Linked DNA regions of Mus musculus: all the other regions are reported to be linked to region 1. The links are microRNA targets in miRTarBase. Many come from high-throughput screens and were not tested one by one. Region 1 holds a microRNA gene; each other region holds the end of a gene's coding sequence. Distances are from middle to middle.
Evidence for each region. The annotated mature microRNA mmu-miR-340-5p reads UUAUAAAGCAAUGAGACUGAUU and lies in region 1 at 1,411-1,432, shown strand. An mRNA with a match to its seed (bases 2 to 7 or 8) in the 3' UTR can be bound and repressed. Matches are read on the target gene's strand: a 7mer-m8 pairs with bases 2 to 8, a 7mer-A1 pairs with bases 2 to 7 and ends in A, and an 8mer does both.

Region 1 (3,000 bases):
TTGGAAGAGGAGTGTATTAGTAGAGTCCAGCTTTGAAAGTTTAAAGATTCCCAAAATTTACTGCTGTTCTCTCAGCTTAGTGCTTATGGTTCAAGATGTGAGACTGGAGAGATGACTCAGAGGTTTCCAGGGCATTCTTCTGCTCATGGAGAGAACCTGAGTTCAATTCCCAGCACCCACAACAGGTCTCTCACAACTGCCCGTATCCCCCCTTCCAGGGGGTCTGTGACTCCTGGTCTCCACAGGCAACTATAACTTGCATGCACAAAGCTACACACATAAACACATAATTGAAATTAACAGTGTTTTTAAAAAGGTGTGAGTTCTTGGCATCCAGTTCCTACCTACAGTTTGCTGCCATTCTTCCCCACCATGATGGAACTATAAGCCAAACAAGCCCCTCCTTGTATACGTTATGTTGGCTATGATGTTTAACCACAGCAGTAGAAAAGGAACACATAGCTGCATGATTGTTGAACTCCAAAGCCATGTCTTGGTGTTTCAGAACACAGGCATAGGGGTGATCTGGTCACATTCTTTGTATCTGTTTAATGTTTCCATTACTTCAGTCTAATTAACCCCTCTCTCCTACCAGCTACTGCTACTCTAATCCTAGTTTTATCCTGAGGGTTAAGTTTCCTCTGTTGTCATCATCCCTCCTGAATCTGCACCAACTCTCCCAAGAGTTTTTTGTTTTGTTTTTAAGGTTTATTTACTTTTTTATTGTGTGTGTGTGTGTGTGTGTGTGTGTGTGTATACCTGCATGAGTCTATGTGCACCATGTGTACAGAGCCCTCGAAGGCCAGAAGAGAGTGTCTGTTCCCTCTAGAATTGGAGTTACAGTAGTTATGAGCTGCCATATTGATGCTGGGAACCAAACCTCGTCCTCTGCAAGATCAACCAGTGCTCTTAGCCATCTCTTTAGTCCCATCCCCATTTGTAAATGTCTGAGCCATCTTGTTAGGCTCTTTGAACCCAGCCCAGCTCTAGATGTTGGGGAGAAAGAAACTTTTTTCCTAGGAGGGTTTGTAGTTTGCTTCATCACCTTCTGTAAGAGATCACTGCCTTCACTAATATCAGATGTGCTGCTGTACTTTTTTATTTGATCATTTTCAGTCTCCTTTGGCAACATTGCCCAGTCTCCTCTTTTTGCTAGGATGATAAAGCTACAGTGAGATCTATTCACTCTTGTCCTCCTAACAGTGAATATTGACAAGTGTTGAACTAATTAAATTTTTCTTTCCCAAACAGCTTCCTGTTGAGATTAGTTGACGCGCCCATTTAGTGTTCGGTTAAGGAAATTACTGGATTGGTTGCCTTGGCTACCTGTGCAGCTCTCCCCACTTCCAGCTTGAGTCTTCAAGAGGGAGCCTCAGAACTGATTTCTAAAACCAATTGTACTTGGTGTGATTATAAAGCAATGAGACTGATTGTCATATGTCGTTTGTGGGATCCGTCTCAGTTACTTTATAGCCATACCTGGTATCTTAACACCACAGATCATGCCTGTTGATCAACATTGTAAAAGCACAAACTTAAGGTTTCTAAATGGAAATTTAAACTGGTTTAGCATTCTTTTATGATTCTTTTTAACTCACTCACCAGAGGCAGATGTTAACTTAATAATGCTAGTTTTAATTTTGTTGTCTCCTTTTTGTTTATAGATTTTTTAAGCAAAAATAAACTGGTAAACTACTACTCTAATAAAGTGAATAAACCGTTTTGAATACAGTATTATGCAAATATATATTCCATTGAGCTATATTTTTTTCAAAACTTCTGTTACTGAGTTTCTGTTGTGTCTCATCTTGACTGCTAAAGGTAACAAGAAATCAAAACAAGTGTTTCTAATATTTGTTGACAGAGCCTTCAAAAGGTCAGGTCTGGGGTCTCTGCTTGCTGTTTTGAGAGGGTATTTTGTGTTTGGATGCACAATCCTCCTTCATACTCACAAAAGTGACCTTGGTGAGTAGCTGCTCACTCTGACTTAAAACAGGCCCTTGAAGCCATGTGAGAAAAGGACTTGAAAACACAACTGAACCATCCTTGTAATTAACTTATAAAAGTTGTGCCTGTGGGCAGAACTCTGAACAGCTTTTAGGAACTGAAGGTTTTAGGTATCATTATGGGTAGTAGTCCAGAAAGTTGAAACTTGGGCCTGCCTAGAGGATTTGAGTGCGCTGGGCATGGTTAAACAAGGTGGAAAACTAACATAAAACTCAAGTCTGAGGCTAGCCGAGGCAATGTGAGATGCTGGCTCCAAACTGGGTGGGAAAATTGTTGCGTTTGAGCTCCAGAAGTGCCCTGGAAGGAGCTTTACTGTAGACAGAAGACCAAAGTTAGTTTCAAAGGTTGTTGGTAAAAGATGTTGCCGTTCGGCACTTGTCACTCCATAGCCAAGTGTGTGCCCTAAGAAGTACCCTTCTTTCTGTTTCTTAGAGCAGTCCTTGCTCAGCAGTGCGTGTGAGGATGAGTAGTGCAAGGACCACCTGTTCAGACTGTAAATGACAGTGCTTCTCTGTCAGAACTTTCCAGATTGATTGCTATAGAAAGGTTTTCTACTGAAGACTTAACCTGATTTAGTCACAGGTGGCTGCTTTCACAGTGCTTCTAATGCACCGGTAAGGCAGTTTGTGCATTGTTAACACCACAGTTGCTTTATGCGTTACCTGTTTGGAGCACTGTACATGTTCTCATGCCTGTCAGTTTACACAGCTGCAGCCTCATGTCAGTTGAACTGGAATCTATAAACCTTAGTGAAAATTATGGTAATTTCTCTATGGAGCATATGTGTATATTTATTTGATGTGTCTATGAATTTCAGATGTCACTTTAGTCTGTGTATTTGTTTTACATTACAGGCACGGGAGATATTATTGCTGTCATGATAACAGAATTGAGGGGTAAGGATATTTTGAGTTATCTGGAGAAAAACATCTCTGTACAAATGACAATAGCTGTTGGAACTCGAATGCCGCCAAAGAACTTCAGCCGTGGCTC
Region 2 (3,274 bases), not on the chromosome of region 1:
GCCTTGTAATAAAATTTGTGATACAATTTTTTTTAATTCCCTAAAAGTTGAGTTAAATTATTGTTCAGTTATATAGTTAATTTTATAATTTAGAGTGTCAGAAAATAACTGCTAAATGCTAGCTGTGTGTCTCAGGTGAATGTAAGTGCTTCCTCCACACGAGGGCACTCCGACACCACTTCTTGTTAGAGCAGTTAGTATGGTAAACTGGGCCCAACAGTAATTAAGTGTTATTTTATTAATAATATCTTTCTCTCTCTTGTTCTTTATTTTGTGAAATATATTTTTAAGATTTCTATTTGAAGTTACAAAATAATTTTTGGTAAATCCTGAAAATGTTATTATTTGAAAATGTCTGCAAGTCTAGTTATGTTTATTTGCGCTGCATATTTTCCATTTAAAATTGATTTTTCTTTTTAAATTTGCCTCATAATAAAGCTGCATCCTTTCCTAGGAGTAAGGCGGTGGGACACGCATCCCATTTTAAGTCACAGTGCTTTAAACTGTGGTGTGTTGTTTGCTTTCATTCTCAGAAAACATCCAGTACAGACCTTTCTGATATCCCTGCTCTCCCTGCAAATCCTATTCCTGTTATCAAGAATTCAATAAAACTGAGACTGAATCGGTAAAACCACCTCAGGGTCCATAAACAGTATCTGCCAACTCAACCCGTTGTCTCCAGATGCTTAAACAAAGGAAAGAAAGAAAGAAAGGAAAAGAGGAGATTGGAGGGACAAGACTAGACCTGACTGACAGTGGGTTTAGCTGTTTGGTGGCCTCCCTGCCTTGGGCTCATGAGCACTTGATCAGAAGTCCAGGTTAGTATGCGAAGCCAGGAGTGCTATTATTACTGTGTTAGCGACAGCTGCATTAACTACTCAGAAAAATTACTGCCTTTAAGAAGGAAACAAAACAAAACCCTCGAGCTATGTTTGTATCCATAACTGACATCCGGATCGCGCCTCTGTGTGCTGCATTGTTTGGAAAACTGCAATACAAGCTGGCAGAAGAACTCCTCATTCTGATGATGCACTTTTATGTATTTTTTTTTAATTAGAAAGTAGAACTAATTTTAGATTTTCAGCTTAATGGATTTTCAATTTTTTTTCCCCAAAGAATTTTCTTTACAATTAGTCTTTAAATTGGATACGTTGTGCATTGGTGTACCATTCTGTCCCAGAAAGGGCAGGAGGACACCGAGCTCAGCCCAGTCCTTACGGGCAGCTGTAGCCCTTAGGGTGAATTGTCAATGCTAAGGTATACTTTGGACACTGAAAGAAGAATTAGGCGATACTTGGTTTTGATGAGGTTATGATTAAGCAGTATATATTCCTTTTATTTATAGAGTTGTTTTATAGTGCATACAAATCAGCATTCGGCCAACAAGTGTGGTCTTTGAGCTTTCGCAAGCTCTGTTCTTTTGCCTTCAGTCTGTTAGTCTTCAGAAAGACAGTGCTCCCCCACCCCCTTTTATTTTATTTTTTGCCTTTCTTTTTTCCCCTTTGCTTGTATGCACAAGGTAAGGCTTATTTCACAGAAACCAGAATGCCAGTATTTTCCTAAGCCATGACATGTAACCTTGACCCTGTGGCTGCGTGACACAGACACTAACTTTGGTCCCATGGCTAGAACTTGAGAGTGACTGAAGCCATACCTGTGAAGCATCCCCGGAGGCGGCCCTTTGATCTCTGCGAGGACTTTTGTACACTCCACACAACTCCTGTTCCTGTCTTAGACAAATTGATTTTCATTTTTAAAAGTGGGCAAAAGGCATTTTCTTCCAGATTTTTAAACTAATTTTTATTTTTAACCAGTTTATCAAAATTTGTCAGTGAATTTTACATACAAAAACATTTTAAAAATCATTTCTAGTAAGCACTTGACATTTAGTCAGCTTTCCACTTTTGAATTTTTTTTTTTGTTCTATCAAAAATTAGAAATCTTCTTTAAAGACAATGATTTCTCATAATTAAGTAGCAGAATTCTCGTCCATCTTGTGACATCTGACGGGTGCCAGATGTTGATAAAGTTACTCTTTGTTAATCTGGGTAAAACAGACCTGTAGCAGCAGATCTTTGTATGAGCATGGTTTTTGAATCCTTCATTTCGCTGCATTCTATCACACGTTTGTGCATTTTCATGTTACACTGCAATTACTTAAACTCTCCCCTGTCCTTCCAAATTAATTTCCAAAGTTGGAGTATAGTCTTTCCCCTGAAGCTATGCATTAATTAAGGCTTTCTTTACCACTTACATTGTTTATATACAGTGTTCTACTCTCCACCTCTTGCTCTGCAGTCACCTTGCCCTTCCTCCCACCATTTGAGTAAAGAAGACGGTCCGCTAACAGGTGACATGTACTGGTGTCTGTGTGTGTAGCTTCAGAGTTAGATTGACATCACCAGGCACAGATTTAGTCTTGTCGTTTTGTTTACACATTGGGGAAAAATTCAGTTTAATAAACGTTCCATGTAACTGCATCCAAGTTTCACCAGGCTGGAGACGTGGATCTTTTCTGTGTAGTGACTTTTTACTTCTAGTTTCCATAACCTGGAGATCAGACTGTTGCTTTCGCATGATGTAAGTAGTGTCTCATGACTGGAGTTTGCTTTGTTTTATAGTATCTGTACTCCTTGTATTTTTCAAGAGCTATTTTGTAAACAGATGATGTATTTCTCCATTGAAAACACAATAAAAAAAAAAACAGCACAAATCCCATAGTTGGCTGGTTTCTTTTGACTCTCTCTCTCCCTCTCCCCCTTTCAGCAATCTAATTAATTAGTTCTACATACAAATATATGGTGTGGCCCCAAATGAAGATTGGAATTTAATGTGCTTATATTTGGCAGGTTTGTTTTAGGTTAGCCTATTTGTAACCCAGTACTAATGTGTCACACGATAGCAGGCAATGTTGTTAACCTAGATGATCGTTAGGGAGAAAAGGGTGGTTATAGCTACCACTAACTCACTCTGAACAATTCCATTTTCTACAGTAGTGTTCTGTCTAGTCTGAGCACTGTACATTTCCCGGTACTGATGCATATGGCTCTTTCATGCCTCTACTTTCATTTCTCTGTCAGCAGGTGGCACTGTTGTTTTTCAGTAGGTTTATAATTGTGTCTTACAGCTTGAATCTTGTTTATTTTACTGGATCAAATTCTGACATTTTTCTTAAATCCTCACACACATTGCGTAAAAGAGAAGTAGACTGTTTTAAGTTTGTGATGGCCAACTTTTAGGGATGATTATCTTAGTGTCTTGAGTGTGTGTGTGT
Region 3 (3,274 bases), not on the chromosome of region 1:
GGTTCCTGGGATTCACCCGTATTTTTACATTGGGACTGATGCCTTGAATCACACGGAGCAGTACACAGAAGCTGCAGGTGAGCGCCAGCTGTGAGTACCCGGGGTTCTCTGCCAGCTGTGAGTACCCGGAATTCTCTGCCAGCTGTGAGTACCCGGGTTCGCCTCCTCTTCCTGCTCAGTGCTGCTCTTTAGCCTGTTCTCCCATATAATCACTTCAGAAAACACGGTGTTGTGCTCAGAGGGTGGAGAGGCAGTTTAGATACTGAGAGGTAACCAGAGGAACTAATAAATGTACTGTGATCTAGAGAGAGGTTTTCAATGTGTTTTCTTCACCTCCCAGGATCACAAGCGGCTCAGCTGTACACGCTGCGTACAGCCAAGGCTCTGGCAATGACCGCACTGGACGTCATCTTTAAGCCTGCATTGCTCGAAGGAGTCAGGAAGGAGTTTAAATGTAAACTTCAAGAAGAGCAGCTTTTAAATACAGCAGCATAGAAGGAAACCCTAGGGACTGGTCAGGAAATGTTACGTTTTGTTTGTTTTTTACCTCTCATGTTTTTCAGTGAAAGAGAGCATGCTTGTTTTTCAGTCCTGGTAAGTGAGGACAGATATAGGGAAGAAGACACGAATGCACGTCTAGATTTAGTGGAGTTTGTGATACTGCAGGCGTTGGTGCGTAACGCCATCTATTACGCCAGATGATACCTGATCCTGTAACATTCGGTAATGTTTTGTAAGTGTATCTGCTGTATGGTGTTACAAGTCCCACGGGTTTCAGAAGGTGACACTCATGAACTCTGTGGTTCAGAGTAGGGAATGTCTTCTCGGCAGTTTAAATCGAGGGGGAGACTTGTTTTAAGTCTAACTGTATCTGTTTGGGTCTAAAGAAAAACTTGAAATAAACATATGCTTGTGGGACACTCCTAGAATCCCCAGTACAAAGAATTAGCTCTACTTTTAACACTTAGAGAAGGGGCGAGGAGGAGTGGAGGGAATGGTGGAAGAGGGAGAGGGAGAGAGAGAGAGAGAGAGAGAGAGATCTTTACTTACATGTAATTACTCCAAGAAGTGGCATAGGAACAGTGGGTAGTAACAGGAAAAATGGCAGAAAGGCACAGTTGAGCCTTTCTAGCAGGGTAGGGTGTTGTGTGTTGTGTTACAGGAGTTGGCCGGAGTACAGACTAGGTGTGCTCTGTTCTCCAGTGTCCCACACGGTCCCCAGTCCCTAGCAGCCTCAGAAGAGCCCCAAAGCCCTGTGCTGGCCCAGTAGTAATGTGAACCCATGGCCTTGGAAAGGAGGCTCCGTAGCTCCTAATGAGACTTAGTTAAGCTTCCTGCAGTTTCTCTGGACTTTCTTTTGTGCCTTGTCTGCTCGCTCCCTGGTTTGTGTCACCACAGCATTTGTAGAGCCACAGGAGGGAGTTGTTTTTACAAGGAAGCCAGGATTCGAGCTGGAAATCTGAAACATTTCAGTGGTTGTCAGTAAAATCACTGTCAGTAATGCCCTGGAAAGGAGCGAGTCACATAAAATCAGCAGTTCTTCATGGTCCTCACTGTAGCACAAGTTTCTTTGGTTTTGGTGGGGCTGAGTTTGAGACAGGTTTTCCCTTCTGCCCGCCTCCTCCCCACTCTCTTCCCTCTGCTGCTGCCTCTCAGATGCTGTGATTATAGGCTCGAGCACAGCACACCTGCCATCTAGTGTGAACTTGCACATGATTAAAGTGTGAAGAAGCCGGTAAAACCAACTCGTGGGCATTTGAGGAGGCGGTTCAGAGTCAGAAGTGGAAGGGCACAGGGAAGTGCATTTGCTTCTGTGGTGGAAGCAAGTCACTTTCCCTCAGTGACACCAGCTGCCACTTAGAAGGTTAGCCATCTTTGACCCTTCTAGCCTCTGATTTCCTGTTTGATGTGTACTTTAGAACAGGGAGCGGGGTTGTATTGGAGGGCTAACATCTGAGAACTGCTCTCTGCTGTTCTCTGGCTTGACATAGGCTGGTGTTTGCTTGATTACTTGCCTTTGTGCAGCTAGTATACTAAGAATTGTTTTGCATTTTAGAGGTTAAAAAAAAAACCCCAAAAACAAAAAACCACCATTACCACAAAGCATAAAGTATTTACTGTCTGACCTGTCAGGAAAAAGAAACCTCTCAGAGCCAGTCAATCGGGCAGTTTCTGATTTCTGTTCTCTTGAATTTTCTGGGGAAAGCTTCAAGTCCTGCATTGGAAGCACTTTAGTGTAGATAGGGGCTGCCTGACAGAGTGATCAGGACTGTTCCACCCTCTACTTTGTCCTTCTAGACAGAAGCCTGTTTCAGCTCCCCTCACCCTGCCCCACAAGTCCTCAGCCTTGCCTCTGCACACCACCCGTTCTGTCTTTGCGTAACATTGAGAACTCAGTCCTCCATGACACCTTGTGTCTGGATACTCACACCCGAGTTTATCATATTAAATACAAATTTTGTATAAAGAGGGAGTATCAATGAAAACTTGAATCAAAAAATAAGACATGCCAGAGATGTGGTTTTTTTTTATTGATGGACTTGGTCTCCTAAAAGGCTGTTTTATTAGTTCCTCACATCTTGAGGGATAGGTTTTTTTGTTGATTGATTTAGTTTTGGTTTTTGCAGGGCTTGATATTGAGACCAGGGCTCTAGCACAGAGCTGCATCCCCAGCTCCAGGGCAGGGCATTGGTTGCATTTGCTATAATCTTGACACCATCCTAGAACAGCTGTTGTTATTTATGCAGCCCAACCTCTGAGAATCATGTGTATTCCGTGTCTGGTTTCCTTTTCCTTTTTTTTTTTTTAAGTAAAATTAAATTTGACTGATGTATAAACAATGTCGGGTTTAGGTAGGTAAGGAAGGGTGTGTTTCTTGTTGGAGGTTGCTGCTGTGATTTTACAATTTGCTGTCTTATTGTCCAATGGTTTACCATTTTGAACCACTTACACCATGTCCTTACAAATGCCTTTTCCTGTCACCTGGGAGAGGTGTTACGTCAATGCATTCTAGAATGAGTAAGCTACACTTAGCAGCTTAAATGTAATTACAATCTGAAATTTATTTTCCTTTACCAGCTTAATTCTAAGGAAGCTTGAATATGGGACCTGTGCAGTACAGGTGTTAAAGTTATGTTTCCTTTTTCCTAAATGCCTGAGACCAGCGGTGTTTCAGATTTTAGATTAAAAAAATGTTTTGAAATATTTGCATATATATTATGTAATCTATATTTTATACATATATATGTATATACAAACAGGGAGGGGGAAGATA
Region 4 (3,274 bases), not on the chromosome of region 1:
GAGTGCCCCGGGGGAAAGAAATGGAGAGGAATCCCGAAAGATAGCTTTGCTGTCCTCAGACCCAAAGCCTCAGGGCTTGTGTGAGTGTCTGGTTTTCTAGGCGAGCGACCAGAACTCTGAGGGTGCTTTTGTCTTCTTCCCTCACCCCTTCTCAGGCAACTTTGTAAAGAATTTACGGATCTGCTGGCTCAGGACCGGACACCGATCGGAAACAGCAGGCCCAGCCCCATCCTGGAGCCGGGCATCCAAAGCTGTCTCACGCACTTCAGTCTCATCACGCACGGCTTCGGTGCCCCGGCCATTTGCGCTGCGCTCACGGCCCTGCAGAACTATCTCACCGAGGCGCTCAAAGGCATGGACAAGATGTTCTTGAACAACACCACTAACAGGCACACGTCTGGGGAAGGCCCAGGTAGTAAAACTGGCGACAAGGAGGAGAAACACAGGAAATGAAAAAAAAAAAATTAAAGAGAAGGAAAATGTTTTAAATACAAAAGGAAAACAGAAAAAAAATAAATTTAGCTTTAACATATTGGATTGGCTTTGGAGGAATTATATTAGGTAGAATACACATACAATCAAAATTTAAAAAGAAAGCTAAATAACGTTAAAAAAAAATAAACTGAGGCATACAACGGAGCAACAAACCGGCTCTCGGTGTCTATTTCAAGATACACGTGGAGACAACCGTCCGGATTTTCCACTTCGGTTCTTTCGAATTTAGTAATACAGATAAAAAAGGAAAACTATGAATCCCCCTTTTGGAAAATAAAACGTGAGACTAAACATGAGAACACGCTAACTTATTGGAAGAAAATTGGAGAAACGTTGGTGTCAATGCTTTTGAGAGCTGGTTGACTGAGACGCACGAACTTTTAAATCTTTAATTTAATTTTTTTTTTTTTTAAGGAAACTCTCGCACTTCGCGCCCTCCATTTCTCCTCATTCTCCTCACCGCTGCTTCCCTTTCTCCCTTCCTCACAGCGATCCCGGAAATCTGCTGGGTGATCACGAGTGTGATTAGCTCTCTGGTGTTAGCCCCTTTGGTGTCCAGACCGCGCCTTGCGTTCCTAACTCCCCTGAGCCCAACTCCCCTACCTCCCCTCCACCCCCACCCTCACCCTCACCCCGCCCCGGTGTGTTTAATTAGGGAGGCCAAGGGTGGGGGTGGGGGACAGGCGGAGGCTCTAGCTTTTGATCCAGGCTTGAGAGCCCAGGCTCCCGCGGCAGAGAGGAAACCGATAAGTTGATTCATCTTGGTTCCTTTTAGAAAATGTTACTAGTCTCCCAGACGTGACAGCACCTGTTCACAGAGAATATTACATTTGTTATACTTGTGTCATCTAGCGGTATAGTTTAAAAAGAAAGGAAAAGAAAGGAAAAAACAAAAACCAAAACATGAAAACTTTGATTAGTATGTAATTCCTTCGGAGGGGTATGTACCACTGACTCTCTTCTGTTTCCCCAAGCTTTACCCGCATGGTTTATGAGCTTCTTCAAGGAAGATTTGGGCTTCCTACACAATCTATAAGGTACTGAGAAACAACAGCAACAACCTGATCCTTTTTAAAGTTAAAGCCTGCCTGTCAGATTCGGCAGGTTTTACTTCTTTAAAGAAGCTCAAAGAGAATCATTTAGGAAGTGGCCAGTGTTGGGGGGAGCGGCTTTGGATTTCTTGCTAACACACCTCAACGCAGGAATTCCAGCAGGGGCGGGACACTGCAGAATGCATTTTAAGGGAGTCGAGTAAGGTATCTTGGCTTTGGGACCTATATTGTAATGGTATTGTCTTTACTGGAAAAATGGATTCCATTTCCTTGGGCTCTTTGGGGACTGGATGTTTTAATGGGGGAAAGAAGTAGTTTTGCTGAGTGATTGGGGAAGACAGTCTATAAACTACCATGACTCTGCTTTATGAATGAAACAGTTTTCCTTCTCAGACACACAGGTATTTTGGCATAAAATGGTACACACACACACACACACACACACACACACACACACACACACACCAGAAACACAAGGCAAAGGGAACGAGATTGTATTTCAACTTTGAATTCCTGTCTTGATTTATTGGGAATATTCCTAATGGATGAAGTTCCATGAATTTAATGTATCTCTCTTCTCTTAGTCCAACTTTTTACTGTACCCCATCTTAATATTACCACGAAGTAAAACCGGCACCTTTAGCAAGTTCAAGGAGTAGAGTATTTGATTGGTGCACACATTTAGTTTGGGTACACTTATTTTTTTTCACCTACCTAGACGGGAACTTTATAAAATCCATTAGGATATATGTTCAGATGTTTTCTGTGATTTACACAGTCCCTTCCCCCAGTAGTCTGGACTCTCAGTATTCCTATCTTTTTCAATCCACTTTGAAGCAAGGGAAGGGGTTGAAGTTTTAGGGACCCTCTGAGGGAATCGCTCAAAGGATGAAGGTTGTAAACAAAAATTGAGGTCAGGCAACATCTCTGCTCCTATCTCTAGCTGCTTCTGAGCCCCATAGGTTTCCAGGACACAGCCCTAGACGAGGCTGAAAGGAGTAGAAAGGGCAGGAAAAAATACATGTGTGAACTATAGATTCTCATCTTTCCTCAGTTTAGAAGCCCACCCCATTTGTCCAAGAACCTGGACGCTTGCATTAGTTGAATTCTGATTGCACGAAGCCAGCAGAAAACACATTGAAAAACATCGTCTCCTTTCCTTGCAGGGCAACGCGCCCCACGCGTGTGACATCGAGAGACGCGATGGATGCGCCTTGCTCTTACTGTGCAGGTCCTGGGAACATGTGGGCCACTGAAGCCCAGTGGTGTTGAGGACATAGAATCAGCAGCTGCTGAGGGCGCGAGCCGTACAGGCCCTTCTTGCTCTCGGCCTCACCCTAAGGGCTAAGGCAGCCGCGAAGGGCCGGTTCCCGAGTAGGTAAAGGGGCGGCGCCCCACTGGCTGCTGCGGGGGAGGGATGCCAGAGCTCTGTAAAGCCATTTTGCCGCAAGCGGTCACTAGGGGCTCTACTCTCAGAGACCTTGTAGCTTGGAAAAGTCCATGGAATTTGAAACTTCCATGTGTTCTTTATTGCCAGGAAGTGTGGACATTTTTTTTAATTGCCTGAAGTGTGGACATGAAATAAGAACTGTCATTCTTGGGTAGGTAGGCTCCCTTAGATGCCCTGATGTTCCTGTGAGCATCAGCGAAGGGGCAGCTAGATAGACCTGGCTTGAGGCTTCCCTCCCCCATCTCCGGGGTTGTCTTCTGTTTCTGTTCTTTTTCTC
Region 5 (3,274 bases), 48 Mb from region 1:
GCGGCGGCGGCGGCGAAAGGGGGGGCGGCGGAGACAGCGCACCAGCGAGCGGCCCCAGGCCTCCCCCGAACCGATCCCCACCCCCGCTGCCTCACCGAGCCATGGTCGCGCCCGTCCCGTTACCTCCCCACCCCGCCCCGGTGGTTCCGTCCGCCCCACGCCCCGCCCTCGCTGCGCCGGCCCGCCCCGCCCCGCCCCGCCCCGGGGAGCAGGCCAGCCTGATCCTCACCCCGCCCCCGGGCGGCACCGCCCACTGGATCCCGGCTCTCCCCTCCCCGTCGGAATGGTACCGCCCGTCCCCGGGCGCTTGCAGCTGCCCCGCCCACTCCTCCTCTCCCGGCCTGAAGGGAACCCAGCCGGCTTCACGCGGGGGAACGAGGAAGACTGGGGATGGACAGCCTCGAGGCACTCGGCAAGAAGGGCTCCCTACTCGGACACCCTCAAGGCCGGGCTTTGACTTTGCCTCCACATGAAGTACTAAAATGGCGGCAGCGCCGCCGCTTCGGGAGGGGAAGAGGGGCCGGCATGAGAAGAAGCTGGAACATACCATCTCCACCCCGGGGGACAGAGGAGTAACGCGGCAAAGGGGAAAGGAAGTCCTGCCTAGAAAACCAGGGACCGCCCCCTCGCTCCACCCAAGCGTGGATCTTCCCACTCCCCTGGGCCGACGGCTCGCTCCACCCGCAAGGTACGCCCCCTTTCCCGGGGGCCAATCAGAGGAGCAGGCCGGGAATCCTAGGTTTTATGAATGGGCCGCGCGCCCACCCACCTGCCGCCTAGCCTCCTCTATCCCGATGGTCAAGTTTAGACACCACTAGCATCTGTAGACGCGTATTGTAATAATCCTTTCATTCTTGCTCCAAGAAATCTCGAATAAACTGCCCATGGTTTATTATGTAATTCCACTTGGTCGAAGGGTCTCTGTATCCGACACAAATCACAGGTCAACACTTGGGATATCAAGACTCAGTACCAGGCACGTGGTAGATCGCTCTACACAGTTACAAAAATAAATGTAGCCTTTATTACCAAGTAATAAAATAAAAGCCATAATTAACTATAACATAGGGCAGAAGGATGAGATGATTAAATGAATAATGTTATATTGTCTGGGGAGAAACTGAGTTTTAAGAATTACAGTGCCAGCCGGTCGTGGTGGCGCATGCCTTTAATCCCAGCACTTGGGAGGCAGAGGCAGGCAGATTTCTGAGTTCAAGGCCAGCCTGGTCTACAGAGTGAGTTCCAGGACAGCCAGGGCTATCTATACTGAGAAACCCTGTCTCAAAAAGTAACAACAACAATAATTACAGTGACTGGAATTTTAGTGCTTAAATCCAAACATATTTTAGGAGAAATTAGGAACTGGTAGAACAACGAAATGGCTTAATATATGAATTAAGAGCACCTCTGAGGGCCAGATGGTCTGTAATCACAGCTCCAGAGACTAAAACAGGAGATCTACAGTTTAAGGTCAGCTACCGCTAGGGTGAATCTGTCGTCTGTTTAAAAAGCACCTAGAAGTTCCCTGGTCAAACAAATGAGGGCTTCTGGTGAAAGAATAGAGAAAGGAATGGCAGTAAAGACATGGGTGTGGCCCCTTGAGTCTTGTCTTAGATTTTTAGTTATTACAGGATAAAGGCAGCTGGAGGATGGGGATGGCCTAACCGCAGCCAGCACTCAGGAGGCTGAGGCAGGAGAGCCACCATCAGGCTGCCCTGGACCAGCAAGGGCCCTGTATCACAGACAAACCACAAAGCAGCAGTGGCAGGAGCAGCAACTGTGTGTGGTCAGAGGAGCTAAAGTGCAGGGTCACCGTCAGCTCCCCGGTCCAATCAAAGCTAGCCTGAGCTACAAGAGACCCTGCCTCAACAAACAAACAAATAAAAATTAGCCAGAAAGCAAAAAGCTTCCCAAGTATTTTCTTTCAGGAGTCATCGGACAACATGGGTCCTGATTCCTGCCCCACTGGGTGCCCACTGTAGGATGCCGAGGAACAGAGGAGGATATGTATGTCCCTTGGCAGGTGTGTCCTTCCTGAAGCCAGTACATACCTATAAATGTAGCCTAACACATTTGTAGAGGACAAAGTCATGTCCAAATGACAAAGAAGGTCAGTATCCCTCTGTTACCAGTAACTACTGTGTTACTTTTCTGACAAGGTCATCCAACAAAATGTTCTCCCAAGGCTAACTTTTTTAAAGCAAATATAGAACTATACATTTGTATATACACATCACACCATTACAGCGTAAAGCCCGGGTGGGTAGCAGTTCACTTAGGGCTTTTGGTTCTGTTTTCTCTTCCAGCTTCTTCAATTCTTGGCTCTTCCTGATGCTTGGCTATCCTGTCACATAATCTACTAAATAAAGTCAATGTTTGTTTATCCCAGTGAGCACCGTCCATCTGGGTGGCTCTTAAGAGAGGCCTCTGGAAGTCTGATCCATTCATTCAGGTGGGAGGGAAGAGGGATAACAAGCATCCAAGCCGTCCAGTGGCAGCCACTAAAACACAGTCAAACCCCACAGTGCATCCACATCCAGCCAAAGTTCCTGAGGAGCCCCGATTCAGGTCACATCAGTGTTTAACGGATGTGAAGTGTTTCAGGAGTCAGTGGACAAAGGGCACTTGAACAGTGGTGGGTTCTCATCTGTACAGGAAGCCATCTGAACTCTTATAAAGAGAATTTTAAGGAGTCAGTAGCCTCCCTGGAAAATTCAGGCAAAACAGTACAAGAGACTGGTTCTCATCTCCTCATGAAGTTCTTCTCCAGGGCCACCGACGTCCGCTGTAGGGAATGGATGTTGCGCTTCACGCGGTCCTCCAGGGAGGAGGTCGACGCACTCTCCAGCTTCATGCGGCTAGGGAAGGAAAGACAGGGGAGTGGGGAAAAAGGACATTTCAACTGGTCAGCCCTGGCAGAATCAGAAGAAACAGGTTTGCAGCCAGAAAGGAACTGTAGAAATACAAGTTCTTTTCAGCCCACATAGACAATTTTCAAAGGACTCCATCTGGAGCCAGGGCTTTTAAATGTCCATAAGGGAAAACTCATCTGTTTTGGAAAACAAGTCAAGTTTCATTGGAAAAAGGTTTTCTGAGCCACAAATTTTTACTTAAAAGGAAGGCCAAGGAATTTCAGTGATTTGGGAAAAATACCAATTACTTTTTCTATGTCAAGTAAAAATGCTATTATCTGGTTAGAAACTGGGAACAGTACCAAGAGTGGTCCCAAGGCTGAGTTCTGAGGTCTCTGGACACAGACAACAGCACCACCAGC
Region 6 (3,274 bases), not on the chromosome of region 1:
TTTCCAAGTCTCCAAACCCTGCAGGGCCTCTCAGTGGTTAGCCAGCCTCTACTTTAGTCCTGCCTCGACTGAACTTTCTGTCTCCCTTCCCCTTAATAGCAGTCACTGTTGGAGAAACAGAGAGTCCTAACTCAGCAGCACGAGGATGCCAAGGAGCTTAAAGAGAACCTGGACCGCCGTGAGCGCATTGTGTTCGACATCCTGGCTACCTACCTCAGCGAGGAGAACCTGGCTGACTATGAGCACTTCGTGAAGATGAAGTCAGCTCTCATCATTGAGCAGCGAGAGCTGGAAGATAAAATCCACCTGGGTGAAGAGCAGCTCAAGTGTTTGTTTGACAGCCTACAGCCTGAGAGAAGCAAATGAGAGGCACATTCCTACAGAAGGTGGACACCAAGCCCTGGAGATTAATGCCTGAGACTATAAGAGTGAACCCAAGCCTATTTGCCCATCTCTGGAGAGACATACTCTGGAGCCACGAGGCTAGTAAAAAAGCAATAATGTCCTGCTAGTATGTGATGATTTATTTATGATTTTCATTTCTGTTGGTTTGCTGAACATAGTTTCATATCACATGTGATTTCACAGAATGCCAGGCTTTGCTAAACAACAAGGGTTCTCTAGCCCTCCTTTGCAGCAGTGGCACCAATGTTCCTCCCTCGTGTAGATGCCAAATACAGTCCTACAGTGCATGAGAGGAAAGACCCTTGTGATTTAGCCAGACACGGGCTGCTGTGTGTTCTGTCCTTGTTCATTTAACAATGTGAGCATTCCTCATTCTGTCATGGTGACATTCTCTGACTCAGTAAAAATCAGTGATGATATTTATTCATGTGTGGAAAACATGAACAGTTTCCTAGTAGTTAAAGACTAACTATAAAATGAACAATCTACATATTGGATCCATTCATTCCAAGATTAAAATTATCACATAACTTGTGTGCATGTTTTGAAATACCCTAAACAGATATCTAGTATCCTTCTTGTCACATCTTAAATACTTTCTAGCCAAGTGATTTTAATTGGATAAAAGTGTGTCTACTAATAATGTTATTGCTTGCTTTTTATTTCCTGAGACCAATGGAATATTTTGAAGTTTCCTTCCCTGGAACACTAATTTGTGTATATGATCTTTAATGATAATCAGTGGTTTATCTCTTTTTATGTCTGTTACCATGGGCCACATGCCACATGCCACATACCTTAAGACTTAAGACTCCATCTAGTGGTCAGAGGTCCTGTGGAGTGACTAGTGCTTACATTTGAAACAGAGTTTTGTCCTTAACAGTTCAAATGGCAAGATGACAAATAGAGTGTTATTCATGAAAGCTACACTGTCATTCTGTTGGTTTCCAGTTGACAGGACAGATTGGGAAAAGACATTTTTAAATCATGTGTCTGACTTGTTGCTCATTTTGTTTTTGTTATTATTTGTTTGTTTTAGAAGAGTCTAACCCAGATTGGCTTCAAACTCCCTATGTAGTCCAATGACCTTGAACTCCTGATCCTCCTGCCTCCACATCCTGAGTTCTGGGTTTAGCAGCATATCCCACTTCATGACTTCATACATCTATCTGATAAAGGATTTGTATAAAGAACTTCCAACATCCAATAGTAGGAATTGTTTGAAAAAAAAAAAGTGGGCAAAAGACTTGACTAGACCCTTCACCAAAGAGGATATATGTATGGCAGATAAACACATGGGAAATGTTCAGCTACCAATGGCGTGTATAACTTGCTTATGTTAAATGTGTGTAGATTTGGTGTTGTTCAAAAGGTGTTTCTGTAACTAAGTGCATGGTAAGTGATGAGCAAGTCTCTTGGTGACTTGGTATTTAGGCATCACTAGTCTTTGTTCTACCAAGGGATTATTTAATTCGTATGTTCCCCTGAGACTGCAGCATATACGAAGATTTCCCTCTCTTAGCAGTAGCCACACCTTTTCCAAAATACACATGCACATTTACATCCATGTGTATGTGCACGTGTTCACACTCCCACACACAGTTGTCTTAAAGGACCAGAATCCATGCTTCTTGAGCCAGAGGAACAGACGTTGACAGCAGAAGCTCTGGTGAAGATGATACAGTGTCCTCCATACAGCTGAGTCAAGATTGGCGAGATTTTATATGCAGACCATGGATGACATGGTTGACATCCTATCACTGTCAGTCAGAAGAAAATCTTTGCAAAAGTGTTGATTCCTGTTAAATGAAACTATTCTACCTTTTGAAGTTCCTGATCTGCCACTGCAGCCTCTTTCTCCTTCCACTTGGTCATCCTTTGCTGTGAATGTGGGTCATGTCAGAAAACACGATATTGGCTCTCCACAAACTATCCAAGGTGTTGCAGACTATTTTGTTTTTAATTTACACCAAGCTATTTACCTGTGGTTCTTTAATCCCAAATACAGTGTTGTGAACATTTTAATGATATGTGTGTAACATGTGAGTAATGGAATTTTGTTTGTCTGTAACCTGCTTTTTCATGTTGCTTCAAGCTTGTCTGTTATGGGAAACAATATGTAGTGCTCTAGCATGCTTGTAATGAAACACATAACAATTATGACCTTCTTATCCATCCCCTGCTTGCCTGTTCCATGTCTGATTAGCAGGGACCCAAGAATTCCAGAGAGTCCATGTACATATGTCTATGACTTGTGATATTACTGCATAAGAAACAATCTGGTGCTAATGGTTGGTCCTTGGCATGCATAGGCATGGGCATGGGCACAGCTATGGAACTCTCTGTAAATATACTGACCTTGCTTGTGGTCAGCTTTTGTGGCTTTACCCTGAACTCTGCCCTGGCAAATATGCACATTCATGCTTGATGCTTACCACTTATCAACAGATCCTCTTGCTTGACTTTAACAAAATAAATAGTGTCTCTTCAGATGAAAGTAGAATGTCTTTATTTCCTACTGTATAGCTTTGTAAAAAGAATAAAAATACCAGTGCTGGGCATGTAGCCCATGGGGAAGGGTTTGAACATGGTGTTCTGACTTCAAATAGTAGCATTTCTCCTCCAGAAAATAGCCTAAGCCAGGCACTGTGGGGAACACCTGCAATCCTGGTCCTTAGAGTGGTGCACAGCTGGACCCACAGCACAGTTTTTCCTTCTATATACGGGTGCCAAACACATCCTTAAAGGGGCATAGTAGATAAAATTCTTGTGATTTAGCTTGATTCAGGCTGCTATGTATTTTGTCCTTTCTAAGTCAACAGTGTGACTTCTTATCACACATGTCATAATTGTGTGACCCAACAAAAAT
Region 7 (3,272 bases), not on the chromosome of region 1:
AGCAGAGCGTGACCCAGGGTAGGGCCTGGACCAGAGGCGGCAGTTTAAGGGAAAGGCCCATGTGCCTAGGCAGCGCAGGAGGCAAAGCATTTTTTGTTTTGTTTTGAAGCAGGGTCTCTAAGCAGCCCTGTCCTGGAACTATCTATATAGGTCAGGCTGGCCTCGAACTCAAGTCTCCTCCCTCTACTTCCTGAGTGCTGGGATTAAGGGCGTATACCACGCTTGGCTGTTCTGGCTGCATTTAAGACAGTCTCACCACTACACACAACAAGCTAACCTTGAACTTGTTGTGGTCCTACTGCTGGGATTAGTTATGCACCATCACACCAGAAAGAGCTTTATTCTTGAGAACACAGTTGAGCCACTGAACCCTAACACTTCCATCGAGACTTCCTGTCCTGAGACCAACCTGCAAGTCCCCTCAAGGTGCTCTGTTGCATGTAAACTCAAGTTCCTACACAGAGTAGGTGCTAAAAAAACCAAACCAAAACAAAAAACCTGAGTGAATTTAGAGTAAGTATCATTTCTATGTGTTGGCTGTCTTCTGTTGCTTGTACCCAGAGTATCTAGTACAATAACATCTTTTCAGGCCTGAGAACTTCCTAAGCAAAAAAGAAAAAGAAAAAGGAAAAGAAAAAGGAAAAGAAAAAGAAAAAGAGAAAGAAAAAGAAAAAGAAAAAAAAAACTTCTAGACACTGGTGAGCACTATGCCCCACAGACCCAGGCACGAGGTATATGACTTGTAGAAATAAACACCCTTTTCTTGGAGGGAGCCCAGACAGCGCCCTGGTGTCTGTGCCCGTCAGAGCTGAGGGGAGAGACGTTCTAGGCAGCTGGAGAGACTCAAGAAAGGCTGCTCTGGTTTTCCCACATCAAAGGATGCTTGGGAGCCCCGGTCCTGTTGGCAGAGAGACCCTGGCAAGTAGAGCTTGTGACATTAGCCAAACCCAATCTCCCCCAAACCAGGCAATTTCAACTCAGGCATCAAGTCTCAATCATGAGTGTGGCAGCCAGGGTAGGAGCTGCTTCATTCAAAGAACACGAGACCTAGGGAGCTGTGGGGTAGGGACGGGAAGGGCTCCCATCAGTTCACTTTTGAACGATAAGTCTGGGGAAGGATTAGGAGACACAGCCATGTTGGAGGAGGTATCCCACTGGGGAATAGGCTCTGAGGTCTCAAAAGCCCACGCCGGGCCCAGTCACTCTGGCTCTAAAGTGTAGATTAGATGTGAGCTCTCAGCTACTGCTCCAAAATCATGCCTGCCTGCTGCCACGCTCCCGGATGCTATGATGGTGATGGAAACTGTAATCAAGTCCCCAATCAAATGTTTAAACGTTGACATGTGTCGGACTAAGACAGGAGAGTAGGCAGCTTGATCTGGGCACACTGAAAATAACAATATCCCATTGTGAACTCAGCCTGGTTTTAACCTTAGGACATTGAGAAGCTAGGGGAGTGGGGGTGACTTCTCAACCCTGAACTTGACATCAGGAGGAAGGAACACGTGGAGATCTACTTGACTGGAGGAGAGTGCCCAAAGCATCCGTCAGTTTCACAAGAGGGTAGAAGGATAAAGAAAAGTGCAGGGTGGAAGTGCTGGGCCAAAGATGCAGTGATTCTGCAGACGCAAATGGAGTGTGTGAGCATCTGTACATTGGTCCTCTGCCCACCACACGTCCTTGCTGTAGGAACACACACCACCTGACTGGGCCGTGTCTCACGAGGGCACCAGTTTCCACTAGACAGAGGCTCCCACAGGCACCGCCCTAGGTGCTGTCGGCAGACCGGAGGGAAGAGTCTGGGCTGCATAAGCACCATCTCTCTGACAGTGGACCCAGGCAGTCCCAGGCTAAGTGGGACCACAGCTCTGTGGCCTCCAGGATCTCTCGGTTTCTAGAAGATCCGTCTTCGCAAGTCCTTCAGGTTTCCCCAGAGGACCCTGGACAAGTGTTGGCCTGGAAAGGGTCAGCTCCCAGGGAAGGTGAGAGATTGACTGAACACACAGCGATATGAAAATTAAATCGAGATATTTAATAGACGGTGCAAACCATAATTTCATCTGAATATAAATGTATGCACACGTTTCCAATGAGCTATGTATCAATTATCACAACAGCAATGAGGACCTTAGAGCTACGTTAGAAAACTGGATAGCTGGAATTAACTCTAACAATCTTATTCGCTTGCAAGAGAACACATCCATTTCAGATCCGTGTCACAAACTCCAAAAGACCAGGGGGGACAGGAGTGACAAGGGCCAGGATGGTAGACATGGGGCCAGTACACAGGTGACAGACAGAAACACAGCTCTTGAGGGAACCAAAACTAGATGTGTTATTACAGCTAAGAACAAGGAAAAGCCTATCTATGGCTTTTAAAAAACGACTTTTCTGCCAGTACCGTACACATCTTACAGAGTGAGACACGTCAGCTGCAGGGCTACATTTCCAGTTCGCTTCAACTGCAAACGGCCGACCCTCCACAGAGGACGCAGCAGTGGGCTTAGCGCAGCCCAGCAACTCAGTGTTGGATTTGCAAATACAGTTTATTTTACAGAAATTCAACATTATAAACAGCAGGCACCTCCCCCCCGCCCCCCTCCCCCCACCCACCCCTGGGCACAGACCATGCTATGCGAGAGTGAGCAGTGGTGCGGCTACTGCTTTGGGTGAGAGCTGAGCGATGGAGGCTGCCTGCACCGCGTCCTGCCTGCCCTGCGCACGCACATGCCTGCCCGATGCACAGGCCACCAGAGTCCGTCTGGGCCCAGCCTCTGCTGGAACAGTTACATGGATCCGGCCCAGTTCTCCAATTCCTTCATGTCGTCATCTTCCTCTTCCTTCTTCTTGGCTGTGGATACAGAAAAAAATGCTCTTTGAAGCCTGGCTGGGAGCTGGAGCCATGCTTCTCTATGTGTATGTGTACGTGTACGTGTACGTGTACACACATACACACACACACACACACACACACACACACAGCCCTGTCCTGAGCGGAGACACACCTTCCACAACAACTCCCTTCAGCCCTCAGCAGGGGTGGCCACACCAGGTGGGACAGTTTCCACACTGAGCTCTAAGCTCCCAGAGCTGGGGAGACAGACAGGAGCTTCCCTCCCAAGAGACACAATCCTTGCCAAGCCAACTCCACATGGAGCTGCTGGAGCCTGCTTTGCTAGACTGCCTCCAACAGAGGAAGAGCCGCAGAAGAGCCAGGGGGCTCTCCTCTTTACCACGGCAGGGGGTGGGGTGGGAAGGGGGCTCTCCTCTTT

Region 2: miRTarBase lists Papola as a target of mmu-miR-340-5p. The part of its 3' UTR that is shown has no 7-base or 8-base seed match.
Region 3: the mRNA of Pm20d2 is a reported target of mmu-miR-340-5p. The part of its 3' UTR that is shown has no 7-base or 8-base seed match.
Region 4: miRTarBase lists Tfap2b as a target of mmu-miR-340-5p. Seed matches in the 3' UTR shown: 8mer at 2,273-2,280.
Region 5: miRTarBase lists Cwc25 as a target of mmu-miR-340-5p. Seed matches in the 3' UTR shown: 8mer at 2,672-2,679.
Region 6: miRTarBase lists Shroom2 as a target of mmu-miR-340-5p. The part of its 3' UTR that is shown has no 7-base or 8-base seed match.
Region 7: miRTarBase lists Chmp4b as a target of mmu-miR-340-5p. Seed matches in the 3' UTR shown: 7mer-A1 at 2,568-2,574.

What each region holds. Positions count from the first base shown.
Region 1 is chr11:50,068,310-50,071,309 of GRCm38, forward strand. Mir340 (microRNA 340) reads left to right here and starts at 1,393; the gene lies at 1,393-1,490. Rnf130 (ring finger protein 130) reads left to right here. Exons shown (of 9, transcript NM_021540.4): 3 at 2,862-3,000.
Region 2 is chr12:105,836,232-105,839,505 of GRCm38, forward strand. Papola (poly (A) polymerase alpha) reads left to right here. Exons shown (of 22, transcript NM_011112.4): 22 at 534-2,713. The coding sequence ends at 629. Among named protein-coding and RNA genes, the nearest start is that of Papola, 53 kb to the left of the region's middle.
Region 3 is chr4:33,171,547-33,174,820 of GRCm38, reverse strand. Pm20d2 (peptidase M20 domain containing 2) reads left to right here. Exons shown (of 7, transcript NM_001034867.2): 6 at 1-77; 7 at 341-3,274. The coding sequence ends at 495. Among named protein-coding and RNA genes, the nearest start is that of Pm20d2, 17 kb to the left of the region's middle.
Region 4 is chr1:19,233,895-19,237,168 of GRCm38, forward strand. Tfap2b (transcription factor AP-2 beta) reads left to right here. Exons shown (of 7, transcript NM_009334.3): 7 at 156-3,274. The coding sequence ends at 453. Among named protein-coding and RNA genes, the nearest start is that of Tfap2b, 27 kb to the left of the region's middle.
Region 5 is chr11:97,744,612-97,747,885 of GRCm38, forward strand. Cwc25 (CWC25 spliceosome-associated protein) reads right to left here. Exons shown (of 10, transcript NM_026186.4): 10 at 859-2,858. The coding sequence ends at 2,744. Mir8102 (microRNA 8102) reads left to right here and starts at 286; the gene lies at 286-424. It overlaps Pip4k2b (phosphatidylinositol-5-phosphate 4-kinase, type II, beta), which reads right to left and starts at 93. Exons shown (of 10, transcript NM_054051.1): 1 at 1-93.
Region 6 is chrX:152,609,620-152,612,893 of GRCm38, reverse strand. Shroom2 (shroom family member 2) reads left to right here. Exons shown (of 10, transcript NM_001290684.1): 10 at 100-3,274. The coding sequence ends at 366. Among named protein-coding and RNA genes, the nearest start is that of Cldn34a, 48 kb to the right of the region's middle.
Region 7 is chr2:154,693,523-154,696,794 of GRCm38, reverse strand. Chmp4b (charged multivesicular body protein 4B) reads right to left here. Exons shown (of 5, transcript NM_029362.3): 5 at 2,012-2,851. The coding sequence ends at 2,787. Among named protein-coding and RNA genes, the nearest start is that of 9030607L20Rik, 19 kb to the right of the region's middle.